4 linked regions of the Lepisosteus oculatus genome follow. The protein of the gene in region 2 binds, or shares a complex with, the protein of the main gene of each other region. Links are inferred from orthologs where the notes say so. Each region holds a gene or a part of one and is shown on either strand. Other genes may lie near its edges. The genes, in order: iqcg, drc3, iqcd and drc1.

What was found.
Region 1: drc3 (region 2) and iqcg share a complex: the UniProt entries of both Homo sapiens proteins name them as parts of the nexin-dynein regulatory complex. The link is inferred for Lepisosteus oculatus from reciprocal best matches to the Homo sapiens genes DRC3 and DRC9.
Region 3: drc3 (region 2) and iqcd share a complex: the UniProt entries of both Homo sapiens proteins name them as parts of the nexin-dynein regulatory complex. The link is inferred for Lepisosteus oculatus from reciprocal best matches to the Homo sapiens genes DRC3 and DRC10.
Region 4: drc3 (region 2) and drc1 share a complex: the UniProt entries of both Homo sapiens proteins name them as parts of the nexin-dynein regulatory complex. The link is inferred for Lepisosteus oculatus from reciprocal best matches to the Homo sapiens genes DRC3 and DRC1.

The regions. Positions count from the first base shown.
Region 1 is NC_090708.1:16,856,486-16,864,475, reverse strand, and holds the start of iqcg (dynein regulatory complex protein 9), read right to left. Parts: upstream 3,018-7,990; 5' UTR 2,990-3,017; coding exon of another isoform or gene 2,970-2,989; 5' UTR 2,910-2,969; intron 2,877-2,909; exon of another isoform or gene 2,484-2,876; intron 2,400-2,483; 5' UTR 2,392-2,399; coding exon 2,248-2,391; intron 1,519-2,247; coding exon 1,394-1,518; intron 672-1,393; coding exon 543-671; intron 430-542; coding exon 348-429; intron 157-347; coding exon 1-156. Other genes in the region: rpl35a (large ribosomal subunit protein eL33), read left to right, coding at 2,970-2,989, 3,299-3,408, 4,433-4,475, 5,413-5,565, 6,951-7,095, 7,712-7,735. UniProt on the Homo sapiens protein: Component of the nexin-dynein regulatory complex (N-DRC), a key regulator of ciliary/flagellar motility which maintains the alignment and integrity of the distal axoneme and regulates microtubule sliding in motile axonemes.
Region 2 is NC_090714.1:17,590,758-17,598,490, reverse strand, and holds the start of drc3 (dynein regulatory complex subunit 3), read right to left. Parts: upstream 3,017-7,733; 5' UTR 2,707-3,016; intron 1,642-2,706; 5' UTR 1,610-1,641; coding exon 1,450-1,609; intron 1,116-1,449; coding exon 999-1,115; intron 587-998; coding exon 420-586; intron 1-419. Other genes in the region: TOM1-like protein 2, read left to right, coding at 3,370-3,421. UniProt on the Homo sapiens protein: Component of the nexin-dynein regulatory complex (N-DRC) a key regulator of ciliary/flagellar motility which maintains the alignment and integrity of the distal axoneme and regulates microtubule sliding in motile axonemes.
Region 3 is NC_090717.1:14,355,302-14,363,247, reverse strand, and holds the start of iqcd (dynein regulatory complex protein 10), read right to left. Parts: upstream 3,016-7,946; 5' UTR 2,624-3,015; intron 2,239-2,623; 5' UTR 2,166-2,238; coding exon 1,488-2,165; intron 1,034-1,487; coding exon 800-1,033; intron 289-799; coding exon 217-288; intron 1-216. Other genes in the region: tpcn1 (two pore channel protein 1), read left to right, coding at 3,985-4,093. UniProt on the Homo sapiens protein: Component of the nexin-dynein regulatory complex (N-DRC), a key regulator of ciliary/flagellar motility which maintains the alignment and integrity of the distal axoneme and regulates microtubule sliding in motile axonemes.
Region 4 is NC_090697.1:51,221,136-51,228,271, forward strand, and holds the start of drc1 (dynein regulatory complex protein 1), read right to left. Parts: upstream 3,010-7,136; 5' UTR 2,873-3,009; coding exon 2,745-2,872; intron 2,180-2,744; coding exon 2,095-2,179; intron 1,643-2,094; coding exon 1,530-1,642; intron 974-1,529; coding exon 790-973; intron 384-789; coding exon 246-383; intron 1-245. UniProt on the Homo sapiens protein: Component of the nexin-dynein regulatory complex (N-DRC) a key regulator of ciliary/flagellar motility which maintains the alignment and integrity of the distal axoneme and regulates microtubule sliding in motile axonemes.

The sequences.
Region 1 (7,990 bases), on a different chromosome or scaffold from region 2:
CTGCTCCTGCAGTTGCTGCTCAGCGTGTCCATTGAGCTTCTGGCCCTGGTACACCTGCAGCTCCGCGCTGCTCTTCACATACTTCCCCTCCAGCCCAGTTTTGGCCTTCATCTCCTGCAGCTGGTCCTTCATGTGGGCGATCATCTCCTCCCGCTTCTGGGGGTGAGGGGTGAGGAGAGAGAGACATGTCAGACACAGAGCAGATAAGTTATAAAGCATAGCTATTACTGTATGTAATGATGGCATGCCCATGTTATTACACTATAATATGGTACATCCTTGCAAGGGCATGTTTGAGTTATTATACTGCAATAGTGTGTGTCACTCATTGGAATGTGTTTTTATACCTGCAGCTCAAGCTCTTTCTCTTTGCGGATATCCAAAAGCTGTCTCTGCAGAGCTCTGGTTCTGCGTCTCCCCTCCTCTTCCCTGCCAAAAAGCGCATGCAGACACGCCCACACAAAGTCATTGCCAATGTCCGATGTCCACTTTGCCTGGTACTGAGACCAAAACTTTCTGAAGACTAGAACTGAGAGGCTGACCTGACTATGATGTCGTGGAGGTGTGCCTTCCTCTCTTTTTCCGCTTGGACAGCCAAAAGCAAGCTCTGGAATGTGCCCTTTTCCTGCAGCTCAGCCAGGACGTCGGAGATCACCTGTGCTGCAAACTGCCTGAGACAGGAACAGAAAGACAGAGAGAGGAGAAAGAGGGACACAGAGCAAAAGGCAGAGAGAGGAGTGAGATGGAGAAGGACAGACAATTAGAGTAAGGAAAGAAAAGGGAAAGAGAAGCAAAGAGATTTGATTGTCCAATGTTTAAATTTAACTTTAATTTCATCTCACAGGTGGTTTAATTGTAAAAACACCATTCTGAATCATAGATTAAGTCGTGTATCCAATACAATTCGGGCTAGGATCATGATCTTCTTCGATGCCTGGATTCCCAGCATGCTAGATGCCAGTAGCATTCGGTGGTTTGAGCTGGCCGAGCAGGAGACCCTACAGCACCATCAATGAGAGTCATAATGTTCGTTCAATCAGTGCCAATGCTCCTGTAAGGCACTAGAGAGCTTGCAAACAGCACATCTAGATGGGATAGAGAGCATATCAAATGGTGTGTGCCACATTGATCAACAACTGTCAGTAACAGATTGGGAAGGGTCAAAAATAAATTGCCATTTCAACATTGTATCATATGTATTTTTTATTTGTATCTTTCAGACTTTTGACCTATAGGAATGCTCCACAGAGGAGTAGGTCAGTGGACTTAGGTTATATGCAATTCCGTAACGCATGCAAGATTTTTGCAGAGCTAGAGAGCCAGAAATTGAGAGGAAGTAGAGAGATAGTAAGACAGCAGGAGAGAGAGAGAGCCCATTCACTGCAAAACTGACCTGTCTCTTTGCACCTTGACCAGGTGCTCGGGGGTCAGGGGGTTGTGCTCAAGCATGCGGCTCAGCTCCACCTGGGTCCTCTGCAGCGCCCCCGTGACCTGTGCCAGCTTTGCCCTCTCCTGCAACTGCAATTACATCATCTCCGTGAAATACATCTCTGCCCCTGCTGCTGCAACACCTGCCCAAAGTGAGCAGACACAATCCGATAGACAAACACACTGAGACACCTAGACACAAAGACACTTGAACACACACACATAATCTGACAGATTAAACCATGAAAAGACGGGTCTCACTCTGGTCTGTAGACAATGTAGCATCCACTTCCTCCTCCTCCATCATTTCAACCCATGATTCCCTCTGTCCCACACACCTCTTGACCTGCACCTCCTGTCCTCAACCCTGGCTGCCCTCCAAATTCAGATAGATCTAAATATGTCTATATTGAAAATGACTGATTCTCAACTTTTATTCAAAAACTGAACTTTCAGTTTGCATAAAGGGGCATAAAACACTCCTAAACCCTTCACGTCCACTGCAAAATTCAACAAGGCCTTTTAAAATCTTCCCCTCTGGGGATTTCCTGAATAAAATATAATTGTATTTATTTAGCTATGGCTGGTATAAGTATAAACTAGAATTTAGAATAGCATGTCTTCTTCGCCACAGACGTGAACAACATACAGCTAGAGAGAGAAACTGAGACACCTGACCCAGCATAATCTGAGAGACTCACACAACGGACAGTGTTACGGGTTCTGAGACATATATTAGTACACGAAGACAACATGTCAGAAAGGAAAACACATCGAGAGACACATTGACAGACATGACACATTGAGACAGATACAAACTTGTGGGTGAGAGAGTACCGAGTCAGCGTCAGGCCGCCCCTCGTACGTGGCAGGCATGATGTGACCCAGCACGGCCAGTTGATCTGCGCCGTCTTCTAGAACCGTGCACAGCCGGATTTGCTCCACATACGACTGGAGAGACATCGTGTGCACTGCAAATGCAAATGAGAACTTAGTACAAATGATCTGTGTGCAGATTGTACAATTATGCAGGTTGCTTCAATAATGTCACTTACGCAGATACTGTAAACTCAGATTGAATGATATTGTACGTTAATACTGTATAGTCGGTGTGACTGACAAAGTCAATATCAATGTAACTGACAGTACAGTTTGTCTCAGGGCGTCCCTTCTAAAGCCCACTCGGCACTAAAAACCGGAATCTAATCAAAGTTTTAATATTAACAGTGTGCACGCTGGAAAGGTCAGTAAGCATTGCAGGTCCAATAGATACTTCCCATTCCCCATTAGCGACTTCAAATAGTCTTTTAACACTTTCAAATAGGTTACCAATTTCTACCAATCTCAAAATCAAAATTCTGCTGCAAGAAAAATGAAATGAATCGATCCAATATGTTAAAATAGATGTCTGTAACTGCTGATCAATAACTTTCCTAAAACTTCAAAGACAAAATAATAATACTGTCGCAAAGATTAACCACCGTTTCAGTCAGGTTACTTTTCCAACTCGTGAAAATTGCTCGATGTTGACACCGATCACCATGGCAACCGCACAACCGTGGTGAGCAAGCTTAACAGTTGCATGTACTTTTTTTTGTTCATGTTAAATTAGTAAATACAATATATATATTGAAGTATATACTTGAAGCTTAATGTTTAGTTTATTTTAGTGGACAAGAAACTTTATTTAGTTTCTGAGGAACAAATGCAAGTAAGCGAAGTAAAAAGGCTAGTCTATAAAATTGCCTGTTACAACAAATTGTAAACGCAAAGCGAATGATTAGTTTTGGACATATGGAACTTAAATATTTTCTGAGATTTTTTAAAACTAAAAAATGTTTTTAAGAAACTAGTGTACTTCTTTTAAAAGCACATTTCTAGTCAGGCGCTGTTTCAGTCACGACTCGTGCGACGATGGTGTTGATTTCCCAGCATGCCCTAAGGACCCCCCTTTTTCCTCCATCTTGGATATCAGTACAGGTGAGAGAGATAAACAGCGTTTAGAATCAACCGGTTTTTAAATAGTTTTTAAAAGTATAGTAACTATAATATTACTTATCTTAAACAGCCGTGAGTCTTATACGGCTTGTTTTACCAGTGCTGTAGCCTTTGAGCTGAAGATGGCCGAGATACTCAGTGGATTTAGCTTGGAATCCCTCGGGTGAAATGTAAAATGCCCCGGCTTCGCAGGAGCTGAGCCTCGGCCGTTCAAACTCAATTTTATTCATTAGATTCCCATTTAAAAATACAAGAATGTCTCCGAGCCCTGTAACTGTCAAAACCCTGGTGTGATTTTTAAAATTGGAAACCATTTATCTTTCTTATAAAATGATGGTTTTATTCATTTCTGCCTTACTGACTGAAGTTTTGCTGTATGGTCAGTGAGTGTTAATGGTGGGAGCTATTATGCAGTGTGTAGTCATATACACGGTGTTTGTACCCCGAAATCATATACGTCCCCGGTTGCTGCCGTTTTGGGTGTATGTATGAATTCTCGTTTCTCGACTGCCGAGTCCGACACCTTATTTGCTTCCGATTGTGTCTAACCGGAACTGTGGCGGTCAGGCCCTTTTAATGTAATATCGTGGCTGAACTTGTTGCAGTTTTTCCCAGCAGTTACATGTCCCTCACAGCTCAGATAGGTAGAATCGTGAAAGTGCACAGTGTTGCCCGGACCATGAACCTTCAGCAATAGTGTCTTTTAAAATGAATTACATGTGTTTCGTGTAGATAGTAGTTCCTCGTGCAAATGTGTACGTGTTCAAAGAAAACGGATGTCCTTTGCTATTTCCCACAGGAGCTGTCACTATTGATACAGTGTGCGTTACCGTGATGTAGAGCTAAAATCCTCAGCCGTGGTCCATCTCTCTTAGCTGGGTTGTGTTGTTTTTTTCCCCCAAAGTAACTTTCGTACCTAGAAGTGGTCATCTGTGTATAGCTCCTTGTGTTTTAGACTAACATGATTTTATTGTGTGCTGATTATGTGCTCCCTGTCCATCTCCAGGCTTGGCTGTGACTGAATACTCAAGCTTCACAATGCCAGGAAGGTGAGTCCTTTGTTTCTCACTAATCAGGTATTCTTGGAGCTGCCTTTGTATTGGTGAGCATTGCTGAATAATAAATTTTAAAAATCGACCTTCCTGCAGTGGGAGTGTAACAGGAACAGAATCTGTTCTTTTTGGAAGCAGAAGGGTTTGTGTTTGATCGGTACTGTGCTGTGGCAAACTGGTGGGTTATCTCTGGTTTAAACTAACACTTCTCCAATGTGCTTTATTCCACAGGATATACCCTTTAAAACAGCAGGCTATTTTACACACAAGCAGAGCTCAGTTCTGAATTGAGTGATTGCCTGTATTACCCGGTGTGATGCATTTCAGTGATTTTTAACTTCCATATGCTCTTCTCACTTCTCCACCTGATCTACAGTGAGGTGGGGTTGCAGAAAGTTGCAGCTGTCTCTCAGTTGATGGATGAAATAGATCCCCTGCTATATGCAAATTAGGATGAAAAGTGCAGTACAGATTCAAGTATTTGAAGAAAGTAGATGTGAAGTTTAATATCCAAGTGGGAGCCTTTGGCTGCTAATTACTCCTTCGGTAAGTGATTCTGGTGTCCCGAGCTTGGCCACTGCAATGCAGTGCAGTGATTTCAGGTTCAGTCTTCAGTTCCTAGATTGCTTATCCTTCAGCAGTGCTGTGCGATAAGCATCGCTTTCCCACTTGTATAGGAGCCTTCAGTTAAAAACCTGACATGGATCAGAGTGCTGTCTTTTTTACATGCAGTCAGTAATGATCTCTGCCAGTTGGCTCTTCACTTAAGATACCTAGTTTGTATCAAAACCGTGATCCTATCTAATAAAATTACAAACATTTGCAGTGTCTGCAAGGGGCAATGAAGAGTGTGGATCGTGCTGCAGGGTGGACAGTCTCTTGTTGGGGCTGTGATTGTCTTCTGACAAGGGCTCTTGGTCTCTTTCCCCCCCAGACTGTGGTGCAAGGCGATCTTCACAGGGTACAAGCGAGGCCTCCGGAACCAGCGCGAGCACACGGCGCTGCTGAAGATCGAGGGTGTGTACACGCGCGAGGAGACCGAGTTCTACCTGGGCAAGCGCTGCGCCTACGTCTACAAGGCCAAGAAGTGAGTCCAATGCTGCCGGCGCACCAGTGTTAAACTGGGTGTGCCTGTGAAGGTTCTTCTTGGTATGCCACTTAAGTGTTGCAGAGAGAAGCTGACAAGTTCTCTTAAGCCGGTTCCCCAACCTGGGTCCACATTTACTAGTGGGTAGTGGGAAGTCCTCATGTGTGTATATATGTTGTATATAGAAGACCTCGCCCAGCTGCTTTAGTGCTCTATCTCATTTTCTTTAAGCAGGCAGATTTCCAGTTTCAGTTATTGAATCCAGTTAGTGGACGGTAAGGTTTAGGGATTTGGTAACAGGAAACGTGCTTCTTTGTTTAGAGATCTGTTCTGAAAAACCGAGCACATTTATGGTGCTGCTGTGCTGTATAGTTTTATGGCATTGTCCATATTTGTTCTTTTGCTGCTGGACTTGAAGTGGATGTGCTGCCAAGTTCTGCTGGCCCTCTAAGTGCAGCAGCAAACACAGATTTTGTGTCTGGTGTCTGTTTCAGGAGGATTGAGCTGGCATGGTTCAAACAAGGCACAGCTGGAACAGTGTTAAGATTTTTTTTTTATCTGTATGATGTGTTTAATAATTGGAGAAGGTTAAACTTATTTACACATGTGGCACACTGCTAGCAGCTCGGTAATACACATCTGCATGTAGAACTGTCTTGTCTCTGTACCTGCAGGCACTTCATCATTTCGCCTGCCACTTGTTATTCCAAAAAACGTATTAAATATTAAAAGAATAGGTGTTCTTGACATATAAGGGATGTATAATTATGCACTTAACATTTAATGAGGTACTTACCATTGTTTCATAGACAGGGCCAATACTAAATTTTTCATTGAATGTGTTTGTGTGTCAGGGCAGTTTCCCTTGCAAACTGCGTTTTTCCTCTTGTGCTTAAAATATGGTTCTTGTTCTTGTTTATAGCCCTGTGTCATACAGAATTGTGATGTTTTGAATATGACTGTATTACAGGCAGCACTGAAGGAAGAGCAGCTTTCAAATAAAGAATAAAATCATTTCTGTCAAAGGCCGTTAGTTAGGGGATGTGTGGCCGCATTTAGTGGTGGGTTGGCTTTTGTTCCCTTATCAGATTATCCTTTGCTTAGAAACAGATGCCATTTTTATCAAGATTGACATTAGCCTTCTTGCTGTCCCTCACAGCTCTTCTCTCTTTCCTGTCTCTGTCTTCAGATCCCATCATACACCCTCCGTCGCTCATTCAAATTAAAGAGTTGCTGTTTATTTAGTTTTGTGTTTGCGGGGGTCACGTTTGCTCGATTATGTCTGTGCTCGTTTTCATTCCGTGTTAGAAGATATCTGCAGTTTTGGAGCTGCCTGAATAATTGCTGTTTGACTGAGGCCTCTCTCGCTCTCCCTCTGTCTCAAGGAACACAGTGACTCCTGGCGGCAAGCCCAGCAAGACGCGCGTGATCTGGGGCAAGGTGATGCGCGCTCACGGGAACAGCGGCATGATCCGCGCCAAGTTCAGCAGCAACCTGCCCGCCAAGGCCATTGGGCACAGGATCAGAGTGGTGAGTGTCCAGCCTTTGCTCTGCTCTTCCTCGCGTCTGTCTCTCGCCTCTTCATCATTACTACCACTGGGTGAGCTACTGGAGGGAGGGTGAACGACACCCTCTTCATCCCTCCTTCCAAAGCTGTGGTCACTTATAAACTGGTCAGCCTCCTTCATCGCTCCTTAGCTTTGTGTTGTCATTCTGTTGCCCATCTGAAATGACATCAGACTCAGATTTTCCCCTTTTCTGCCTGTCCTTTTCCATGCACCCACCTCTTCCCGGTAATACCACTATAACACAGGATGATTGAGGAAGAAGTGTAGATTTTTGCTTTAACTTTTTCCAGCCTTTCTGGCGAACTCCACTGTTGTTATCTTAATCTTTTAAATAATCAATTAGGGATGTCTTTGGAGATGAGTATGTTATTAAAATGGATTGCATGGGCTGTTGGTTAAGCAGCTGTAATTTACAGTAATCGGACACTTTGTTTGCTAAAGCATTTGACCAACATGCAGCTCACCTGTCGCAGGCAGCCGTCTTCTTCCTGCTTGACAGCTATACTTCCCCCATGTAGCTCCAAGATCTGCGGCGTCACACTGCACTGTCACTGTTAATCCCTTTCCTTCTCTTGCAGATGCTGTATCCATCACGGGTGTAATGTGCTGTGGTTGTGTACATACAATAAAAGGACTGGTCCAAATCAAGCGGTGTCTGCAGTGTTTCTTTCTGAAGGAGCTGTCTGCTGCTGCGCAGATCTGATGTGCTGAGAAGCTGCAGTAGAGAGCACTTCCTCGAGGGGTGTGTATGTGTGCCCGTAAACTTGGGCTGTCTTAGACAAGCAGGGGTTTCACTATCAATTGTGGGGCTGATTTTCCATGGCTTCCTTTTACACCTGCAGTTTCATTTTACTGGG
Region 2 (7,733 bases):
CTGAAATAAAGTACCTGGCAAAGTTCTTTCACAGTGAAAGACTTGTCACAAAACAAACTGCATCTCACTTTTGTACGATCACATTTCTTTTTCCCTCTCAAGACAATATTTAAAGCTAAATATTAAAATTTGTACACAAAATAAATGTGAAACAGCTCAGTCCCACTAAACTTTCTTTCTAAATTTAGAATCACCTACCTATTGCGTCCTGCCCTCCTCAAGTACACTATAATTGCCAGTGATGTGTTTTTGTGTCTCCGAATGCAGCTGCAAACCCTGCGATCACCCAGGGGGAGAATGAGGAAGTTTAGAAAGGCTGCCCCAACCCGCCCACTTCAAGCTCACTGCCTTTTAATTGTTTCAGGCACTAAACAGGTGTCTGTCGGGCGTTTGAGTGTGACTTCATTGCCGAGCCTTACGTTGTCCAGCTGGGCCAGGCAGTTATTTCCCAGGGAAAGGACCTGCAGCTGCTGAAGGGAGTCCATATTCTCGATGACGGAGATCCTGTTGTTGTACAGGCTTAGATCCTCCAGCTTCACCAAAGAGTCCAAACCCTCAATCACCTCAATATTGTTGAAAGAGAGGTCTGAGAGAAAAAGCGGTAGAGCTTGTTGGTAAAAGTCACACTGTGAATATTTATTTTAGTAATAACTTTATTTACTTTACAGAGTATATTTCATTGAATGTTATGATGAGGGAAAAGAGGTCCTGTAAAATATGTTCACTTAAACACAAATGAAATAAGTCAGACATTATTTTTGTGGTGTATAACTGTAATGCTACCTCACATTTTGATAGGAGATATTAACGATGGAGAACTTGCATCTCAGTCATAGAGGCTTCTTGACATTCAACTATTCTGACCTTGTCATAAGCTACTGCAAATGAACACAGCAGATAAAATGGAGTTAATTGTATTGCACCTCACCACGGGTCTGGTCTGTAAGTGTCTAATCCTTAAATTGGGATTCCCTGCATCCTGGTACTCTGCTACCTACCAAGCCACACCAGGTTGGTCAGGCAGTCCAGCCCTTCGATCTTCTCAATGATGTTGTTGTCCAGCTGCAGCTTAGTCAACGCGGTGAACTGCCACAGGTGGTCAATCTTCAGGATGTCTGTGAAAAGGCACAAAGAGCAACAGTTTTCCTGAGAAAACAGTCTTCTCAGCTGGTGCTGACATGCAACAGTAAAATCAAAACATAGCCACCAAAAAAAAGGATCAGCAGAATTGCTTTTTTAATGCCCCTCAGACTCCCCAACAGAATGAACATGTAACGCCACTTCGTTGTACTTGTTGTGTGTAATTAACCAGAGTAGAAAGAAGCTCTATGATGGCCTGGAGGTTGCCCTAATAGGGCCTTTGCTAAATAAATCTGCCCAAGGACTCAACAGCTGCATCACATCTAACCAATAATCCCCACGACATCCCCAGCGCCCCCTGGGACTCACTCCTGTAGTCCAGGCGCAGCTGGCACACCTCTCCATACTGGATGCCCTCCTCCTTGGCGATGCTCCCGGCCTGGTCCTGGGGTCCCTGCTCCTCCACGGCCTTCTGAAGCATCTGCTCATCCACCACGCTGGGCTCCACGGTGTCGTACAGCCGGCTCATGCTTTCGTTGGCCCTGTTACTGCTTCTGCCTGCTCCCAGGCAAAAAACACACACACACACAAGCAACTCCTGGAGCGGTTGCATTAAATGATACCACTTTTTAAAGACTGGAAGACAATGAGCTCCACCACCTAATGATTGCTTCACCCATGATAAACAGGCTTCACCTATGAGCATTCTGCCCCACCCCCTTCCCAGAAAAATAAGATCTGTGGCTCTTTAACCAAGAGGATTTGGAACAGAAAGTAAAAGAGACGAGAAGTGTTCGTTTTGGAGTACTGGGAGGATATATGCTGAAAGGTGATAGCTGTTGGACACAGAGGCCTGATGCCACCAAATGGGAGCAGTTTGTGCTTTGCAGTGTGTAGTCTGCCTCTGAGGCCTGACCGCACTGGTGAAATATTAATGCTGTTCAGGTATCAAGATGCTGTGTCTTTGAACTGTGAAGGCTGAGGGACTTTCAGTATCTCAAACAGCTGTCACACAGCGTGGTCAAGGTCTGGTTAACAATCTCACTACTAATTCATGAAGCAGGCAATCCGACTGTACCCAAAATGTCAGTTTGTGCAGCGCTGCACGCCTTCGCTGTAGCTAAATTTGTAGCTAGAGGTCTCTCTGATGCAGGAGAAGGAGACAGATTAGTAGGGGACACAAAGAGATGCAGTTTGAAAATAGGATCCCAAAATACGCCCGGTGTTTAAATGCTAATGCAAACGTTCACGTCTCGTTTAACGGAAGGGAGGCATCTTTGAATTATCATGTTTTACAGAGAAAGGCATCTTAAATTCAAGGTTCCTGTTGTAAAGAGCTACTTTTTCTAGACGGCATTGCAGTGTTTACTCATTCATTACCTACTGAAACGGGAAAAACAACAATATTCGCAATTCACTTCGCAAATAAAATTACAAGCAAGAGAAAACGAGCACAGACATGACGGATTCGACATTTTTAACATGAAGTTATGCATAAATAATAATATAAAATGTATGAATAATACCGATACACATAATATTCTCACGATCAAATTAGTTTATTTCAAAGACTTTAGCAATTAGTGCAGTTTAGTTTTAAAAAAAAAGAATAAGACACCAACATACCAGTTGCAAAGCTAGTAAATCGTAATTTTGAGAAATTAAACTCTTCTCTGAAGACCCGCCTATTGCCAGACGCTTTTCACGTTACTTAGCAACCAAACACTCAACGCATCTAAATTAATTATAAAAACGTATGTAACCTAGGCTTTACAACCTCCGTTTTCCACAATAACTTGTTGATAATCCTTGTAAATAAAATGTTTTTATTTCCACATTTTATTTTTGTAATTTAGGCAAGATTGACAAACGCCTACGCCTATAAAAGATAAAAGCGCCATCAACCCGCCCCCTGCCCCGCCGAGAAGGACGTAGACCTTTACGCACCAATCCGATTGGAGGGTTACATCGCTCTCAGCCAATCAGAACGATTGCTTCGCGCGAGGGCTGGGGTGAACAACCAATCAGTACAGCTGGTCCATCGCGCAGATCTTAACCAATAGCAAATCGCCTTAGGCCAGCCGGCCCCTGGGAGGGCCTGCGGTATGCCCACCAGCGATCGCCCCCTAGAGGTGGCGTCTGCGTAGGCTTTAACTTGGAACGACGTGGAGGTTGGCCAATTAGATCGAAGCTTTAGCCCCGCCGCCCAATCAGCTGCTCAGGGGGGCGGAGACAGCGGGAGCTCCTCTGTTCAGTGCCTGTCAGTGAGGATTGTTTGTTGTCATCAAGATGGAGTTTTTATTGGGAAATCCGTACAGCACTCCGGTGGGGCAATGTATAGGTAATTGTGATTTATGTTTGTGTTTTCAGAGCTTTAACACTCATACGCATCATATTGCGTAGGTATTTTCGTGTTTTGGAGGAGTGTAAAGAGCTGTTTTGTGTGTTGTATGTCACGCAACTAATTGAATTACCAGCTCTATCCTAGCTCCTGTCTAAATGTGGTTGGCTTTTTATGGTTATTTTCCAGAGTGAAATAAGATTTGTTTTTGTTAATAATGTGTTAAATATCGTCTTCTGTATGTTTGAAGTGTGTTAGAGCTCGGGTATCGCCTGCCTCGTTTTTATCGCGATGCTCTTGAAAATGTTTGCTGTGTGGAGAGAAATATTCTCATTACAGTTTGAAACTCGCCATTCACAACAGCGACAGTTAGTCACTTTGTTCGACGGTGTCTGCTTTATTCTTTTTGTTAAGGGCGATGAACTGAGGGGTCCATTAAATACGTCACTTTCCAGAGATACCGTAAACGTAACTTTACCCAGACAGGTTACATATTTACGGTAGAGTGTCGTAAAATGAGCCCCGAGATACGTGCTATTTTGTATGCTTAAGAAACTTACAAACACACTCTTTGCGCTATAGAAAATAGATTGAGCTGGCCTGGAATTGCGTGATGTACAATCTTGCTGTGATGTAATGTACCAGGATCTCTGGCGACAGGACTTATTACCCTCGATTCGCAATCCTTGTGTTTTCACGCTTTTGAAGTCTTGCTTCCGGAGAAGGCATGAGTGCTGTGGGGGTATATCAGTGTATTCGTCGGGGAAATCAGAATAAAAGCGTTTCACGGTGTGTCGATTAATTAATCAGTGAGGAAATTCAATACAAGAGTCGCGTATTTCCACTGTAGAGATAGGGGGCGGCCTTAGAACCGCCTTTAGCGGATGGTGGTGAGTTGTAGTCTCATCGTGCCCTTCAGTTAAAACCATTTTTGTATGGTGAAGCCATGTACTGTACATAGCATTGGCAAAATATCGGGGCGTTAGTGCAACAGTATGTTAGTGTTCATGCCTGTGCGTAAGAAAGAGATCCTTTCTCTCAGGTGCCCTGAGCTTTCTTCCTATGGGCTCGACAGCTGATTCACAATGCAGAGAAAATAATGTCAAAAGTTGTAGAGGCTGTTTTACAACTGCCTACTTCAAGTTCAGCAAAAGAAGAAAATACAGTTGGATCTCTGCGATCGCAGTCCGAGAGCGTGTGCCCTGAGACCTCAGCAGTAAACCCATCAGAACACAAGACAGGAGACAAACAAGCAGAGACCCTTCGGCCCGGCTAGCCTGGTCGGCAATGAGGAGTTCACTGATCCAGGGATGTCATCCAGCTGTTTCCTGAATGCTATCAACTGCAGCTAATGTTGCTGGGTAACATGTTCAGTAATCCCACAGCCCTTTGCATGAAGTACTGTTTCCAGTTCTTAGTTTTAAATCCACTTCTCTGTAGTTTCCTGTGACAATTATGACTGTTTTTTTTGTGGCTTCCCAGTTGCTGACCATCTCTCATTATTTCATATTCTGCAAAGGTGATCCTCTCCTGGAAGCGAGTTTCTGTTCATTTTCACTTGGTAGCTCCTAACCAGCAGTTGAGCAGTGGGGATCTGCCGATGAGCTAGTGTGTATTGTACAATGGTGGTCAATCTGTCATTCTGACAGTTCTCTGCACAGATTTTTTTGTTGTCCAGAGAACTGACAAACAGTTTTTTTCTTAACACACCAAAAAGAATGATTAAATCTGACAATGCTGGTTATCACAACTTGTGTTCCTGTGGAGTGTAACTGCGGGCACACTGTGCGGTGCCGTAATCACTGTGCGATTGTGCGATTGCTATAAGAGTGTGAGACCGCAGGCTCGCTGCTTGAATGAGTTTGAGTGGGTCTCATGTGTCAGGGCCAGGGACTGCTCTTTTCACGGGCAAAAGGGCAGTGTGCTTCTTTGCCGTCACAGTCTGTGAGTCCTTTATGATGGGGCCAGTTTAATCTGAGCAGTGAGTTCTGCGGTTATTTTTGTGCTCCGCTGCATTTGCTTGGTGTGCTGATTGTTATGCAGTGGAGAGTGTTTCTCCATGATGCAGGGCTTCTTTGCTCTTGAAATCTTTTTTGAGATATGCCCTGATAAGAACTGGAGCTCCTCAGCAGCTTTTATTAGCTTGGGTGCAATAGCGGTGGTGCTATAAGGGTTGGACTCAGCCCAGAAGATAACACTGGTGTGCACAGAATAAAAGTAAGGCCTGAACACTGTGGAGTTTTAAAGCCTTATCCACGATGGGACTGAGAAGACTGCAATATATCAGACAGCTCTTCCTTGTCAGTTTTACTCTTCCAGTTTGCAGTCTCATTTTGTAGTTATAACTGGATGACTGAGTTCGTGAAAGAGTGACCTTTACTGTGTGAGACCCTGCCTAAAACAGGGTTTGTAGAGACTGGTTTTCTAGCTTTCACAAGTGTGGCTCAGGAGCGAAGAAGCCTGTGTTTACACTGATGTGACAACAGGACATTGCGAGGCTGGTGTTTCTGGAGGTCAGAAATCTTTCTGTGTTAGTTGTGTGACGTCCAGACATGTTCATGCTGTGTCCAAGTGTGGTAGTGAAGTACAGTACCCTAAGCCTCTGAGGCTGTTGTAAACTAGAGCTGTCACAGAGATTTAAGTCTAAATTTAATATAATAATGTGCATCCTTTCCAGATCAGATTGACCGATAGATTAATCTGGAAGCATTTGTTTAGATGTAGTACTTCTGGCAACACTGGTAATTATCGTTTGTATTTAATAGCTTACAGGCAAATGCCAACCACATACTTTATGAGAGCCTCTCCCTGCCAATCCTGCCAGTCCCCATCAGCATGTGGATTTGTTGTGTACTGCTTTCCAGATGGGAGGAAGACAGTTTGGCAAAGCATAGCAGCTGCTCCAGAACCCAGACAGATGTTTGTAGTTTTGCTCATCTCAAGTGTTATGTTTCTGAATGCATTAGACCCAAATCTTGTGTCATTTTTGCATCCTCTTTGCAGAGTGTCAACAGAAAAGAAGGAATTAACGCACACGCCCTACCAGAGAGCCAGAATATTTCATTGATCCACTTTATGCACAACAGGATTAATGATACTGACGCAGACACGGTTATAAATTTATATGCAAATAAAAAAATCGATTTTGAGTTGTGTGCAAAAGCCGTGTGTGTTTTGTCTTTAACTGCTGTCTCAGCCTCTGGCCAGTGATGATTAGCAACCAGATGAGATATCTGGTTCGAATGGCGTCCTCTGGTCTGCAGGCTTCCTCGTGTTTTTATAACTGTCCGATCCAGGAGAGGTCAAAGACCTCCCCTCTAGAACAGCAGCCTTATGAGTAGAGCACTTGATTGTGCTGATCCGGGGAATGTCCACAGGGCTCTCCGTTTTCCTCTTTCGAAGTCACCTCTCTCGACGTCTGCAGAGGTTTGGCTGGGCAGGCTGCAGCATGTTTTCTGTGAGCAGCTGACGGCAATAACTGCAAAATCAGTCTTAAACAAAAGCAGGCATGCCACTTTTCCCTCTTTGGCAGGGACCAGGCGACCACCTGACCCAATGCATTTTAATGATGTAGCTTTTCTGTGCTTCATGCATTGGTCTCCCTGTTGCGGGGTGTTCGCCTTTACTCAATTAAAAGTGCCCTGCCTGTTCTTTGCACCATAATTTAATCTGGAGCTCCGAGTCACTATGGAGACGGAACCAAGCAATATCCCAGAAGCAGAAGGCAATTTAATGACCTGATGGAAGTGCAGTGTTTTTACTTCAGCATCTGCAGCTTTCTTCTGTGATGTTGTGCAAGCAGTGCAGTCCTACAAGGATGGGCTTTTGAGTTCAAGCAATTCCACTCTTGACATACTGTCTTGTAGAAGTGCAGTAGCCTGTTTTCTGTGCAGTGGAGATCTGGGCGTCGTATTCGTATCATTTTAACCTCCACACTGATCCCCATTTGGCAAAGAAGTGCAGCAGAGATGTGAAATGTCACATACATCTATGATGGAACATATTTAAGGAATCCTGATATTTAAGGAATCTTTGTAGAATTAGGGTTATTTTTAACCTTTTGAAGTGTGTTCTAAAGTTACCATGCCAGGAAGTTGTTGATCTCCTTGTGATTTTAACACAAGCACATACAGTATAAACACCTAGATTATAGGTGCTACACACTACCAACACTCTGTATCTGAAGAATAAATATGATAATATAGTCAAAACCTCACTGGACCAGCAAATTCCCAAAGTGGCTTGACCAGTTTGTCTTAAAGCAAAATATGAGCAAAAACAAAGTTGTTTTTAATGCTGTTTGCTGTGGCAC
Region 3 (7,946 bases), on a different chromosome or scaffold from region 2:
TGTCCCATGACAGAAAGCCAGCCTTATTCTAGAATAATTCACCCTTGTTCGGAAGGCTGCTGTGTGGCTCGGGGCTGGGAGTTTGTGTGAGATATTTGTGTGAGTGACTGAATTCTAATTCAGATATATTTTCTATTCTATTGATATCTGGGAATGAGCAGTTCTCGCCATAATCATGTGCATGACTATGGATGAAGGGAAAAAACTTTTCTCTACCTGCTTTTCACCCATGTCCACATCATATTTCTGGATCCAGTTCTCAATCTCTGTCTCCACTTTGTACTTCCTCTGTAGAGAAGCAGGTTATACTTGAGAAAATGAAATAGTTGCAGGGCACCAGTTTCTAAAACTTTACATCATAGAACTATTTTTTCTGAAAATGCAACATTCACTGTTTAGCATTATGGCCACCACTACAGACCCTCCATCTGAGGAAAGAATAACATTTGCTCATATACAACCATAATGGTATTGTGATTAAAAGGACATCTGTTTCAAGAGGAAACCTATGCAAACATGAAGAGAGCACACAGGCAGACAGCACAGCCGGGCCAGGATTGAACCCAGGGCTCCTTCGCTGCTACTGCACCACCGTGTTGCTCTCAAAAGATCTTCCAAGCCTCAAAAAATCTCTACTTGGCAAACATTCTAAGCAGAAATAACAAAATAACTAAATATACTGACTGAAATCTGGCATGAAATGAAGCCGCAGGCAATTGAGATTATTTTTGTATTAGTACTGTAATTCGGTTCAAACTGGAGGATGGGCTCAGGTCCCTGGAACTGAAAAGAAACGCACCTTCCTCAGCGCCAGCTCGCTCTCGCGGTTCTCGGCTATCAGGCCGCAGAGCCGCCCGCGCAGCTGCCCCATCTCCTGCTGCATGCGCCCGCAGCGGCTCTCCGAGGCCTTGTGGTCGGACTGCGTCTGCTTGTCCGCTTCCTGCCGGGTTCGCTTCAGGAAGTCCTCCGAGATCTTCTCCATCTGGTGGAGGGAGCCCTTCAGCTTGCGGATGACCTCATTCTTCTTGGAAATCTAAGCAAGGAGACAGGGTGGCTGGTGTCGCGACTGGAAACGTTCTCTGGGGAAATCTTCACAGCACCATAACAAACACAGCACAGAATTTCCACACCACACTGACCACAGGAAACTGAAAATACCAGCCCTTCCAGGCTTGGGTTGGCGGTATGAATAAAGTATCAATAAAGTATCTATCTATCTATGAACACTTATGCACACTGAGTGTCTGGACAGAACACTGTATATATGAACATATGTACAATATATGTGTGCAGGCTAGATACAGAGGCTGCCATCACGGCACATCATTTCTGTCTTTCCAACTCCATGGGAGTTAACACCGCCATGAGGAACACTTTGGACTTGAAATAAGTCAATGCAGCCCTGCATTCTGGTTATGCTCTTAAAAGGACGTAGGGACAGCACCTGGACTGTCAATCTCCTAACGCATAACGGGCCCCTTGCCTACCTCAGCATCCCTGTCCCGGGCGGCCGCAGCCACCTCCCTCTCAAGGGTGGAGATGAGCCCCACGTTGTTCTGGTGCCGGAGAGACACCTCCTGGATGTACCGGCTCCTCTCTCGCTCCTCCGCGGGGCCGGTCAGGAGCTTCTCAAAGAGCAGGCTGCGCAGCTCCGTCAGCCCCCATGCCAAACCCCACGCCAGTCCCGGAGCCCCCCCGCCCGCGCCCGCCTGCCCTCTCAGATTGTGGGTGGCACTGGGGTGTGCCCGCAGGTGCCTCAGGACGCTGCGGAGGGAGCTGCGGAGAGCCTGCTCCAGGCCCGGGAGCCGGGGGTCTTCGTTCTCGCCCCCCAGCCCCTGACGCTGGCTCCTCTCCCGCAGGGCGGCCAGCATCTGCCCCAGCCGCTCGTGCTCCCGCAGGGCCCCCGCGAGTTCGGCCCCCAGCCCCACCGACAGCCGCTCCAGGCCGGACAGGACCGTGGGCAGCAGGGCCACCAGCTCCACCTTCGCGATGCACTCGTCCAGAACGCCCGCGACCCGCTGCGTCTCCAGGGAGCTCAGCTTCTTGCGGGCCGGGTCCAGGATCTTGAGAGACTCCCTGGCGCCGCTCGCGCGGGGCTGAGGGCTGGGACTGGCGGCCTGTCGGCAGCCACCCCCCACCGGCAGCACAGCCACTTCCATGGCCATGAGCCGTCGGTCTCCAGGCTCCTCTGCTCCTCAGCAGACACCGCTCAGCTACAGCACAAGGTCCTGGGGTCACCTGGAGACAGAACGACACGTGAAGGAATCAGGAGGAGCAGTTTTTCTTCACGTTTTTCTTCCTGAGAACTTCCTGAGAACTTAACTGAAAGTTATTTACAGTTCAGCAGAGAAAACGTGTTTAGGAGATTACATGATTTTTAATAATATTACACTGACGCCTCTAATTAACTTTGCAGTTTTACTGTTAATAGCTAAATACACAATCAACACAATGAACTGTAATATATTATTTTCCTTTTTTAGACCATGAAGTTTTATTTTAAAAAGTCCAGTGCAACATAGAATACAGCTACGAATAACGGACCAAACACATAACACAAACACATGTTTCTTAATAAATGTATGCATAATTAAAAAATAGACTGGTGCTATATCTCACCTACCTCAATGGGAACTTGTTTCTGCTTGCAGTTTATCTGCGTTGCTAGGAAACCGCAATGCAGGCGGCGCTTTGACAGCCAATCAGCGCTTGAACTGCAGCATCGTGACCGGAAGCAATCCCTGTACGTTATTGGGAATGTAGTTTGAATGGTTTTAGTTTCTCACGGCCTTTCCAAAAAAAACATTGACCCTAGTGTTAAAGCGCAGTTTTTATATACATTTCTAACTGCTTTATAATGAATTATACCAGACGACGTTGCTTCGGCATTTAAACTTTAGACGCAAGCTATGCTTAATGCATGTGACTTCCAGAACGGCTTAACTGAGAGCTAAAGACCTTATTTTCTTATACGCGACGTAAAGACAATTGTAAAAAAAACGAGTCAGAGATGTGCGCGTCACGTGCCATTTTCTCATCCCCACGTACGAGTCGAGGCGCTTCTGATTGACAGGTTGGTTCTCCACTCACAGGGCAGAACCGGACTCAGAGAACAGACACCAGCCAATAGCATCGCAGCAGAGGCGGGCCTGTGCGCTGGTTGTCTTCAGGCTCTTTAATGCTGTGCAGGGTCTGGTTACAAAATGTAACAAGAATGTTTTTGCGCGATGTTTTTTAAAGGATTGGTATGTTTTTTTGGTTCCGCGAAGGTTACCTAAAAGCCTGCTTTTATTTTTTTCCGTTTTGGAAGATATGCACGTTGGGGTTAGTGGAAGCTAGCTTAACTCAAAACATGACAGCTCTTCACTAGTTCAGAATAAATCGTCGTGTTGTTATTATCAACAACAGACAGAAGTTGAGACCGTTTTTCTCTCTGATATCTTAACTCAAGAAATTAAACCTAAAGAAGCTGTCGGAGGAGCTCTGTTTAGCGCTATAACGTCACAAAATCGGATAGTTTTGTTACTGAATTTTTATCTGAATCATGTTAAGTCGTTTAAATGCATGTACACGTTAGAAACATTGATGACTCCGATGGTCGGTACATGAAATACAATCTGGACTAGATTTCTTTTAGTAAAAAGAGATTTATAGCGCTTGAAATACGATCCGATATTTGCTTTTATTTTAGTGTCCTGTAGCGGCGTTGGCACAATAAAACGCACTGGGTTTTTAAAACTAAACCTGTCAACAAACTGAAGCTAGACTCTTCAGTCTCTTCAGTTTGGTGGATGTAGCAGGTGAACTGCTGGCTCTTGGTTTTGCGTTGCAGTTTACCACTCCGAGACGATTGGCATTGATTATGCAAAAGGAGCTGGAGAAGTTTTGGATAAGCCAAACGAGAAACCCACTTGGTAGGGTGGCTTGATTGTGGGACAGACAGCGAGCGAGGGTCGCCCTGCCCCGGACAGGCCTTTTCGGAGGATGGCCAGCAACGCAGATGACGACGTACCGCTCATCCTGACCTGGGACGAAGCCAACTGCGGACTGCTGGGCGGCGAGGAGCCAGACAACGCGGAGGTGACGAGCGAAAGTAAGTTTTGCTTCCCTCCTGTTGGGTGAGTGATGGTGCTCTTGGACCGAGTCCCGGTGTGGAAATTTCGTGTTCACCGTTCAATTTGCAAAGACAGGACCTAGCACGAAATGATAGTGCACGCCCAGAGCTAAAGGTCTGTTGTGTCCCATAGCTGCCTGTCGTGTTTCACTTAAAACGGATTATAATTGAATTCGTTTCACAGTCTACACCCACTGTAACGAGGTACATTCTGTCCATCATTAAAGGGTGGGTTTGGAAGATTTCAAGGCCTTCACATAATGGCTTTCCCCCCGAGCTTTGTCATAAAGTGATCTTTGTACCCATTGGTCTTTTTAATGCTTTAACTTTTATTCCTCTCTTTGCTTTAAGTCCTTAATCAAATGCTTTTAAAACTTCCAATTTAATCTCTCACTATATACCGCTTTCTAATGCCCGTCCCTGAGGAGTTCTGAAAGCTTTTTACAAATTCTGACACTAAAGCAACACAAGTTTCATTGATAGAACGGTGAAGCTTTGGGTCCTCTAAGAGCGATTTATACTTCACAGCAGTTTACAGCCTTTAGATGTTAAAACAGTGCGTTTCGCTGTGCTTTAGCGTTGAAACGGATTTGTTGGCACCTTGCAGGGATGCCCAGATGCGAGTCTGGGGCTGATGACCTTTTTATAATTGGATTGTGTCTGTTCTCTAATATTCCTAAATTTGTTGTATCTCAACTGATGAAGGCATCAGGAGCTGTGCCAATGGGACAAGTTCTAGGCTCTTATGTCACCATTTCATTTTCTACATGGAAATAAAGGAATTGAGAAAGAAAACAAGGCTTTTTCATACCAAGTATCTGTGTCTCATCTAAATGAGTTAAAACAACTTAGTGACCAGTAACTGCGCCTCTTGTTCATGATGCTGATTTGGATGTAATTTGGGAGATATTTCCGAAGATCTGGAATGTGATACAGTGCATGTAAGAAGTTCTGCTTCCACCAAGATGCACTCCTCCTGGGACTGGTCACAAACCCTGTATCCATAGCAAGCAGTTCATTGAAACAGAGGCCTAAACACTACCCACACACAAGGAAAAGATGAAGCCAAACCTTGTTTTAATTTCCAGCAAATGCAACTGAAACTGGTTGTGAAAAGAAATCTTGAGCCAATGCAGATGTTTAAGGATGTGGTTTCTAGTCCATTACTAGTGGAGGAACTTGATGAATTAGAGATCGGATGAGGTCTTGAAATTGAAATCCTCAGCAGATGACCATGCAAGGAATCGCAGCAGCAGCAAAAACATCCAGTGAGAATTTGGTGAAATGCAACATGTTTTTTTGCATGTGTTTGCAAATGGCTGTGTGCTTCAGTTGACCATTGGGTGGGTGGAGCGCGGTGCTGTTGCAACACCCAAGGTTTAGGAAGAGGAAGAGGTTTAAAGCGAGGCGTGATTAGCGACCACAGACGTCTCGCATTCCAGCAGCACAGGAGTGGAGGATGTCCTGGGCAGATCGTCAGGATGTCTGCTTGGCTCTTGTGTGGCAGTTTGGAAAAGCCAAAAAGCAGCGCGAACCCCTAGACTGCTCCACAGAGGGCGCCAGAGCTATAGCTAGCAAGCCAGCTGCTGTCTGTGCTAATCACGCATCTGGAGAGACTCTAGACCTCCATCATCTGCATAGCAGGATACAACCCAGGAAGAATGACTTTGTTTTTTTTTTAATTGTGTTTACTGTTTAACCTCTTTCAGGAGAGAGAAAGGAAAAGCACAGAATCTACCAGGCACAATTCAGAGTATTTCACTAGAATGGGTTACACTTGGATTAAAGCACAGAAGCATTTTCGACTAGCACAACATGTTTGTAGAAAATATATGCAGAATAAGTCTCCTATTCAAAAATCTCATTTCATGTTTAACCAGTGGTGAAATTGGTCAACAGTGTCGGCTGTATTTGGCTGTATAAACATTTTAATTGACATTTAAAAGCAGAACAGATGGATCTGCCCCAAGATGTGAAAGATGCTTAAGCTGGATGTCTTCATCCACGCTTTTTGTGCAAGACTCACAGGTGTCCCGCTTGCTGCTTGACGTTGGTCAGTGTCATGCGCCAGATAGTGTTTTTCACGCTGATTCACCCTAGAATGCTAATGGAACATTGTCACTGCAGATGAAGGCTAACAAAAGCCATTTGTCTACAAAAGAGAAGTCACTGCTAATCTAGCCACCAGTCAGTGTGCTAATTTACAGAAGAATATTTTACTTGCAGCTCATTAAAAAGTCAAGGTGTTCTAGGAAAAGGTGTGGTTAAGAAAAGTGGGTTATTTTTGGGATGTACTTCTAAATCACTGTGTGTTACCCTGAGCAAATCACTAAACCATCTTCAGCTTTATGCTTTGCAATGTTCTTACTGACTTTGCTGCAGCTGTTGTTCTTGCAACTTTTGGCATCTGCTACAGTAAAGTCACTTTGGACAGAAGTGGTTCCCGAGTGACTGAAGCGTCCATGAACTTCAGCTGCATTAGTAAACTTTCAGATTATAGTCCCCCCACGGCCTTCCACTGGAGTCACGATCCTGGCACAGAAAAATGGTATTAGTTCACTTGTGCTGTTTTTTAAATGGACAAATGTGATCACTTTTTGTAGTTTGGACAATATTTATGATGTGTATATTTATTTTATAAGGATGCATATTGACGTGGACAGGATTTCACCCTCGAACAGGGTGACATCATGTGCCCAATGTGGCTCTGGTTTCTTGTAAAGTGGGATACACAGAGCAACACACTGCCACGTTCAAGTGAGCTCAGATACACAGAGCTACACACTGCCACGTTCAAGTGAGCTCAGATACACAGAGCTACACACTGCCACGTTCAAGTGAGCTCAGATACACAGAGCTACACACTGCCACGTTCAAGTGAGCTCAGATACACAGAGCTACACACTGCCACGTTCAAGTGAGCTCAGATACACAGAGCTACACACTGCCACGTTCAAGTGAGCTCAGATACACAGAGCTACACACTGCCACGTTCAAGTGAGCTCAGATACACAGAGCTACACACTGCCACGTTCAAGTGAGCTCAGATACACAGAGCTACACACTGCCACGTTCAAGTGAGCTCAGATACACAGAGCTACACACTGCCACGTTCAAGTGAGCTCAGATACACAGAGCTACACACTGCCACGTTCAAGTGAGCTCAGATACACAGAGCTACACACTGCCACGTTCAAGTGAGCTCAGATACACAGAGCAACACACTGCCACGTTCAAGTGAGCTCAGATACACAGAGCTACACACTGCCACGTTCAAGTGAGCTCAGATACACAGAGCTACACACTGCCACGTTCAAGTGAGCTCAGATACACAGAGCTACACACTGCCATGTTCAAGTGAGCTCAGATACACAGAGCTACACACTGCCACGTTCAAGTGAGCTCAGATACACAGAGCTACACACTGCCACGTTCAAGTGAGCTCAGATACACAGAGCTACACACTGCCACGTTCAAGTGAGCTCACCATTCACCAGACTGTCCTTTGCTTTGCTGTGTTCATCTCAGTAATTTGGATTGTTGATGTGCAGTCTAAAACATATCCAGTCAAAGAGCATTTTAGTGTGCTCAGTGTGTGTGTCATCTTCTGATTCTGCTCTGGGGTGAGACTCGTACTTCCATCCACTCCTTAACCGCGGGAGCTGGAGCCTGTCCCAGCAGGCACCGGGCACACGGCAGTCCTTCACAGGGCAGATACAGGCACACGCTCACAGCTGGGCCAGTTTTCCCAGAAGCAGATTAACCTGCCAGGATGTCTTTGAAACCGGAGCACCAGGTGGAAACCCACACAAACACGGTGTGAACATGCAAA
Region 4 (7,136 bases), on a different chromosome or scaffold from region 2:
GCACTTGTGAAAGACGCATAGGGGTTTTCATGACTCATTCTTGAAATCCTTGAAGCATTTACCATGCTGTCCATATTTCATGAAATACTTAAAAGATGTGTGAAGGGATAAAGCTAACAAGGTTGTCCAGTTCAAAATAGAAAGTAGTAAATAAAACTTCTGCCTCTCCCAAAAATCCACAATGCCTTTTAAGCATCATTTGTTACTGTCAGGTAGAAATGTCAATAGAAATGTATCTACGGTACCTCAATCTGGTCCAGTTCTTCTCTGTAGGATTTCATCAGATTCTTTATCTGTTCTTCCATTCTCTCAATCATGAGGTCGATGTCTTCTGCTTGTTTCTTCAAGTCTTTAACGTAGCGATCATCACTTGCTTTCAGTTCCTGTTGGCAGAGCATGGCTTGTTTTGAAATAGGTTAAGTCTCAAATAAACATATTTGTACAGTACCTCTGTGTCATAACTGGGAAACAGCTAGAAATTGAGTGTAAAGAAACCACAATCTCTCCTCTAAGAACAAAATCTAAATAAATGAAAGAAAACCTTTTGTTGATTTCCATACACATAAAATAGTAAACAGTACTACAAGAAAGTTTAAGGTTCACACTCAAAGATGGAATTTTTAGGAAGAATAGTCATAATTATGTACTCATTATTTTTGCTGGGTCTCACGTGGTTTGTAACTTTAGATAAAAACATTTTTAATATTATGTCCTTATGTCCCCCATGACGCTGCGTGGGATAAAGTGGTTAGAAAAAGGATGGATCCCCATCATCCAGGATTTCCTTACCTGCTGTAGGTCAGTAATGAGCTTGTTCTTCTCCTCAATAAGAAGAGCGCATTGCTGTTGCTGCATGTTGAGTGCTTCCCTCAAGTCCTGAGGGATCTCCTTCATTCTGGCTGATGTCCACTTCTTTGTGATTTCCTCAAACTTCTCCAAACTGGTCTTGGCTTCACTTTCCAGCTTCTCTGTTCTTTCATAGGGCAGAATGGGTTAGATACAGTATGTGACATAGTAGTAAATAACTTCAGAATAATCTAGTATACTGTTGAGAGGGAATAGTTTGTGTATACTTCAGATAGCAATTCTGAAGGTCTTTCACATCATAATGGAGAATCTTCTGACATTTTGTCAATTACATTTACAAAAATAAATGATTACAGGTAATAAATGAGTGACTAGGAATAATTCATGGACCATTATAAAGATATTTTAAAGCTTACTGAACAGTCTTTCTACAACACAATCTAATCAAACAAAAGTCATCAAATTGTTTGAGAATCCTGTATTGTCAAACTCATGAATCCGCTAAAGTTTATAGTATTTCTACTGTAATAATAGATGTAGCCTAACATTTTCCAGATATTGTATTTGAAGATTTGTCTCTCAGAATATGAAGCTATTTGAGTAAAGAGTCATGTAAAGAAAGATTAAAAAAAGCCATTTGTCTGAGACTTTTAAAGGTATTGTAATTTCCTGCTGAATGGCTGTGTTTGTGAAGGAGGGACTCAGCTATGTTCCTCATGTACCTCTGCCTCCTTGCCTCCTCCTCTTCAGTCCTCCTCTGAGACTCTTTCCAGTCTCCTGCTACCTGAATATTGGTGACCAGCTCTGTCCCATCAGCCTGCAGTTTAATCATTCTCTGTGAGAAATAAAATACAATGGCTCAGTCATAGACACCTGTGCTCTACATGGCCTAAAGCTGTAGTAGAAAATCTATTTGTATAAAGAAACCATACGACACGAAAACAAAGTGTGAGTATCAGAATCAGCTAAATGAGATAAGGCACTGTCGATAATACAAATAATAACAGCTTTCAACACAATTCTCTACTATATTTCATTACAACATGTATTTACACATCTTGTGAAGCCTAAAATTTGGCATGGATCAAATTGAGGAAATCGGGTCTTTCAGACTAGATAATGATCTATTATCTATTTAAAAAAACTAGGGATGACAACCTTAGTGCTGCTGATAAACATATTTTTGATCAAGTCTTGAGGAATAAAAATCATATTACAGTTGGAATAAATTCTGTAAGAGACTTTTAATATGTACGATACTATTTGACATCCATAAGTACCACCAACCTTACAGCTCTGCTCCACCTGCTTCTGGCTTTTTCTCATTTCTTCCTTATCTTTCTTTTCATGGCTGCTGTCTCCTAGAGCTTCTCTGAGTATTTTGACATGAATGTAAAACAGTTCAGCATGCAAGAAAAACAGTATGAGTTCATTACGAGGGTTACAAAACCCAGAGCATTCAAAGCCATTTAGAGCACCCAGAGTTCAGAGCCAATCGCTTAAACACAGAATGCAAGGCGCGACTACACCCTGGACAGACAGATAATTACCCTAACCAGCATGTCACCCGAGAACTCTCACATTGCCTTGGGGAGATCATGCAGGCTCCGCACAGAAGGTGCCCCTGTCTCAAATCAAGTGCTCTTAGCCAGCAGCGTCACGCTTCTGTGCCGCCATAAACAACATACAAAACTTTCTAAGCCTTAGTTTAGTCGTCTATTATCTGCGAGACATAACAAAAGTTAATTTAAGCATTTGTCTAACTCGGGAACTGAATCGAGACATGTTTCGCTAAATCGTCACAACTACACGCGGTGCTTAGGTATGAATGCGTTTTACTATTTCATTATTGTCTCCATGATTCAGTTTTAACAAACAAACATAGCGAGTTCAAGATATAGGCATTAACACATGAGTTGTTTCTGGCTGTTGGATACCGTTTCTTCGCCTCAATCCTAGCTGCTATCCGCAGGCGGCGAGCGGCTATTCGCTCCTCCGGGTTTTCGGACTGCACCGATGGTCCACTTTCCTCTCGCTCTTCCCCTCCATTCTCGGCCTGATTCATTTTTCAAAAAGTGCAAACTAACGTGTAAGTAAATGTCCACTGATGTCTTTTAATCAATGCTACTATCTGCCAGGCGTCATCCTACAGTATGTATCACCGACACATCAAGGAAGCTTTGTTGTTTTCTTTGTTGCTAGGATACTGCTGCTGTTACGTCATCTTCAGTAGAGTTTAATGCAATCTCTGTGGGGCTGCTTTAGCAAATACTTTTTTCCTGTTTTATTTCTTTATTTTTATGTATTTATATACAGCGTACTGACAATCTAATTCATATATATATATACATCGTTGTAAAAACGTCTTAAGTTTATTATCAGAACTTTCGTGCAGCAGCTGCTATGACAGGTAAAGTCATTATGCTGATTAACATTTGAGTTTGATCAACGGGTCTATTGTACTGTAAACGTCAGGGGCTGTTTGTGTAGAAACGACACACTGCACATCCCTGCCACATACTTTTAACCATGCTGACTTGTGAGATTCTTTCCAACTTTCCAGTTGTAGAGCCTGGACAAGCATGTCTGTTCACCTGTCAGTGGTCTGCATGCAGAGTTAACAAGTAAATTGAATTTGTCGAGGCCACTGATGTCCCATCCTAATCACAAAATTATTTAGCTGGGCTCAGGTTTGACAGGTAGGGCATCTATGGTTTAACTGTCATTCTCTCATTTCCCAAGAAAGCTGTTGTTACATGAGCACCTGTCAGTGCCTGCACTGTCAGGCTGAAAGTGAATCACGTCTGGATGAGCCTGCAGGAATATTATGACAAATTTTGTATCGCCTAGCTATTACGGAATAAGTCATAACAGCAAGAGCAGCAAGCAATGTCCCAGAGTTTTGACATTAATAACAGAGTGACTTTAATCTGATGCGGAGATCAGTAGCTTCTAGCCCCAGACCTTAAGATATGTATGATGATCTTAGCAAGGTGTGGTTACTCACGGTCTCCTAGACTGGGGCTTATCATTGACGGACTGGCTTTGAACTGGTTGTGAATACACTACAATAGTGCATCCAAAACAATGATGACACATCGTGCTGTTATCTTGAGAAAGTAAGACTATGGGTTAATTTTTGTATTTTTCTTTCATGATTTTCACCAGAGTGCGGCACGGTGGCACAGTGGTTAGCATTGCTGGCTCACAGCACGGGAGACTGGTTCTGGACCTGGGGTGCTATCTGCTATTTCTCTGTGTTTGCATTTCTGTTTCTTAAGAACTTTATTTTCTTTTCACAAATACAGAATAACACAAAAGGAAAAACTGTACAGTATTATGCAGTATATACCTAAAACAGTATACTGTATATGCACACATCTAGAGAAAATTACAAAGCCAACAGAAATATAATTGCTGAGGTGCATTATCTCACGTCACTTTGAATCAATTCCATACACATTTGCTGATGTTTTTTCCATGAAAAATGCTATTTTTCCTTACATGATTATCAGTATCACAGGGTTATGAGACATGATCCTACGATCCACAGATTTTCTGCTTCCTCCTTCCCTACACTCCATAGATCTCTGAGATAATAGTTGTCTTTAATAATGACCAGGCTACCTGCTCCCTTAACTGGAACCTCAATGCCTTTGAACACCCCCATGTTCCTCACCCTTCAAGAGGACATCCTTTCCACTGTTCACTATAGCCCAAATCCTGTCAAACATGTCAGAGGGTAGCGTTTGACATAATAGTGCATATTATGAAGGCAGGGGTCAGGGAAAAGTGAAGCGAGGGGGCCTGTAACCAGTCCTCAAACTGAGCCCAAAAAGTCTTAGCAAAATGGCAGGACCACAGGGGATGGGTCACAGTCTCATCCTCACTGCAGCCCATTCTAATACATCGAGGGCTGGGAGTGAGACACCTGTGGTACAAGAAGGCTCATGCCCGTAAGCACTTGTGAAGAAACTCCAGACTAAGTCTCTGTGAACGTTGCACAGAATCCTAGAGGTTGTGTGTTTCCTCATCTTTCTTGTTTGGGCTTCTGTTAAAATGCTCACAGGGGTCAGCAGATTGTTATGAGGTGCGACAAGATCTTCAAGTTTTTTCTGCATTGAACATGGCCAGTTGGATGGATTTTTTAATCTTTTAACTCTCCCATTAAGTGCAGGGCATGTGTCAGAAAATGGGGCATCCAGCTTGGGTCCGATACCCCCCACTTCAATACCTACCCAAAGCCTAGCAAAAAACATCAGGTATGTGGTTGAGGTCCTGTTGCGTGGGTTTCCTTCTGGTGCTCTGATTTCCTCCCAAAGAGAAAAATATACTGGGAGGTTAATTGGTTTCCAGGAAAATTCACAGACTCTTCATGATAGAGTCTGTGAACACTGACTCTATCATGAAGAAGGCTCAGCAGCGCCTTTATTTCTTGAGGTGCCTCAAGCGATGGGGGATGCCAATACATGTGTTGGTGAACTTCTACCGCTGCACTATCGAGAGCATCCTCACCAACGGGATCACCGTGTGGTATGGCAACACCTCTTCGCGAGAAAAAAAGGCACTGCAGAGAACTGTCAATATGGCCCAGAAGATCATCGGCTGCGGTCTCACCGAGATTAAACAGCTCTATGAGGACCGCTGCCGTGGTAGAATTCTGGCCATCACAGAGGACAGTCACCACCCCGGGCATGAGCTCTTCACCCCACTGCCCTCAGGCAAGAGATATAAGAGCATATGGTCACTTACCACTAGATTCTTCAATAGCTTCTATCCACAAGCAGTGAGACTGGCGAACACATTTAGCCATCCCCCTCGGACCACACCTACACCATCACCATCTACCTCATTGTAATTTATTTATTGTACGTCTCCAGTCATTGTTTACACGTCTGTATTGTTTACATTCAAACTGTCTGCATGTTTACTTGCACATTGTCTATTGTTTGTTTGTACATTGTCTTGATGCACTGTTTGCACTTTGTTTTGTTTTTTACACTTGTTTTACAAACGAGAGACTTTCTGTAAGTAAGAATTCCATTGTACCAGTACCGGTTACATATGGCAATAAAGTTCAAGTTCAAGTTCAAATTAGCCCTGGTGTGAGTGTGTTTGTGTCTGTGTGTACACTGCTGGACTGGCTTCCCATCCAGGGTGTATTGCACCTTGCGCCTGTTGCTTGCTTGCCAGGATAGGCTCCAGCTCCTTCACGTGTATTGGAGAAAGAGGTTAAGAAAGGGATAGCTTTTCACCAAATGTTAAAACAATACCCTAAACATGTAGACTTCATTACTCCTCAAGCATGCAGAGTGATACGTTTTTTTGATGTGTTTGTAGAGAATATATGTACGTTTCACATACATCATCATCAAGCCACTGCTAAATGAAGACCACACTCAACACGGGTATCTATTTACCTACAGGGTCCAGGGAGGCAGCCTTGATAAATAGGATACAGGTCTGTACAGAAAGAATGTTAGTAGCAGTAGCTACTGTGAAATGCATATCATCAGTGTCCAGCAGATGGCGATCAATACAACAGAGTAAAGTCACACATAAAAAGAAGCAAGACTTCTAATTTTGACAAACATTGCTGCAGATGTCCACAATATATATGTATTTAAACTAGGAATACATTTTTAACATCCTTCAATGTGCCGGAAAATTGTATTTTTTCTAATATTTTAATTTTTTCTCCTTTCCTTATAATGACTTTGAGCTGCCAACATTCGCCTCATAATCATCTCAGATTATGCTCTTTAAAGACTACACAAAATTTGTAAACATAAGAACATGAAAAAGGCTACAAACGTTCACCCATCTAGAATGTTGTGTAGTTGGGCTTTAATTGGTCCAAGGATCTCATCCAGCCATTTCTTGAAAAACACTCTTTGGTAACAGCTTCAATCACGTGACATATTCCTACAACTGCTCTGTTAAACACGTGCCCCCTTTTCTCAGTTTTTAATGCAATAAGTGTCCAAAGACATATGCTTTCATAACTCAGTCTCAACTGTCTCAGTTTTAACAAGAACTCTTACCTCATGACATATAGAAGTTTCCCACCCTTTCAATTATGTATTTTATTGAGTAATTACATAAGAAACCTGAAGCACTGACAAATATAGAACTGGTAATGTTCAAACAAAATGCAATGTTACACAATACAGAATTTTTTTATTATTATTTATCTTTATTAAGCTTTAAATGTTATGTCCTTAAAATAGTCGCAGTAATTACAAATATTAAGACCTGCTACAGACTCCAGATACACTTACAACTCCAGTTATAAAGGTGTTCACCAGAATTTGGAGAACGACAAATTC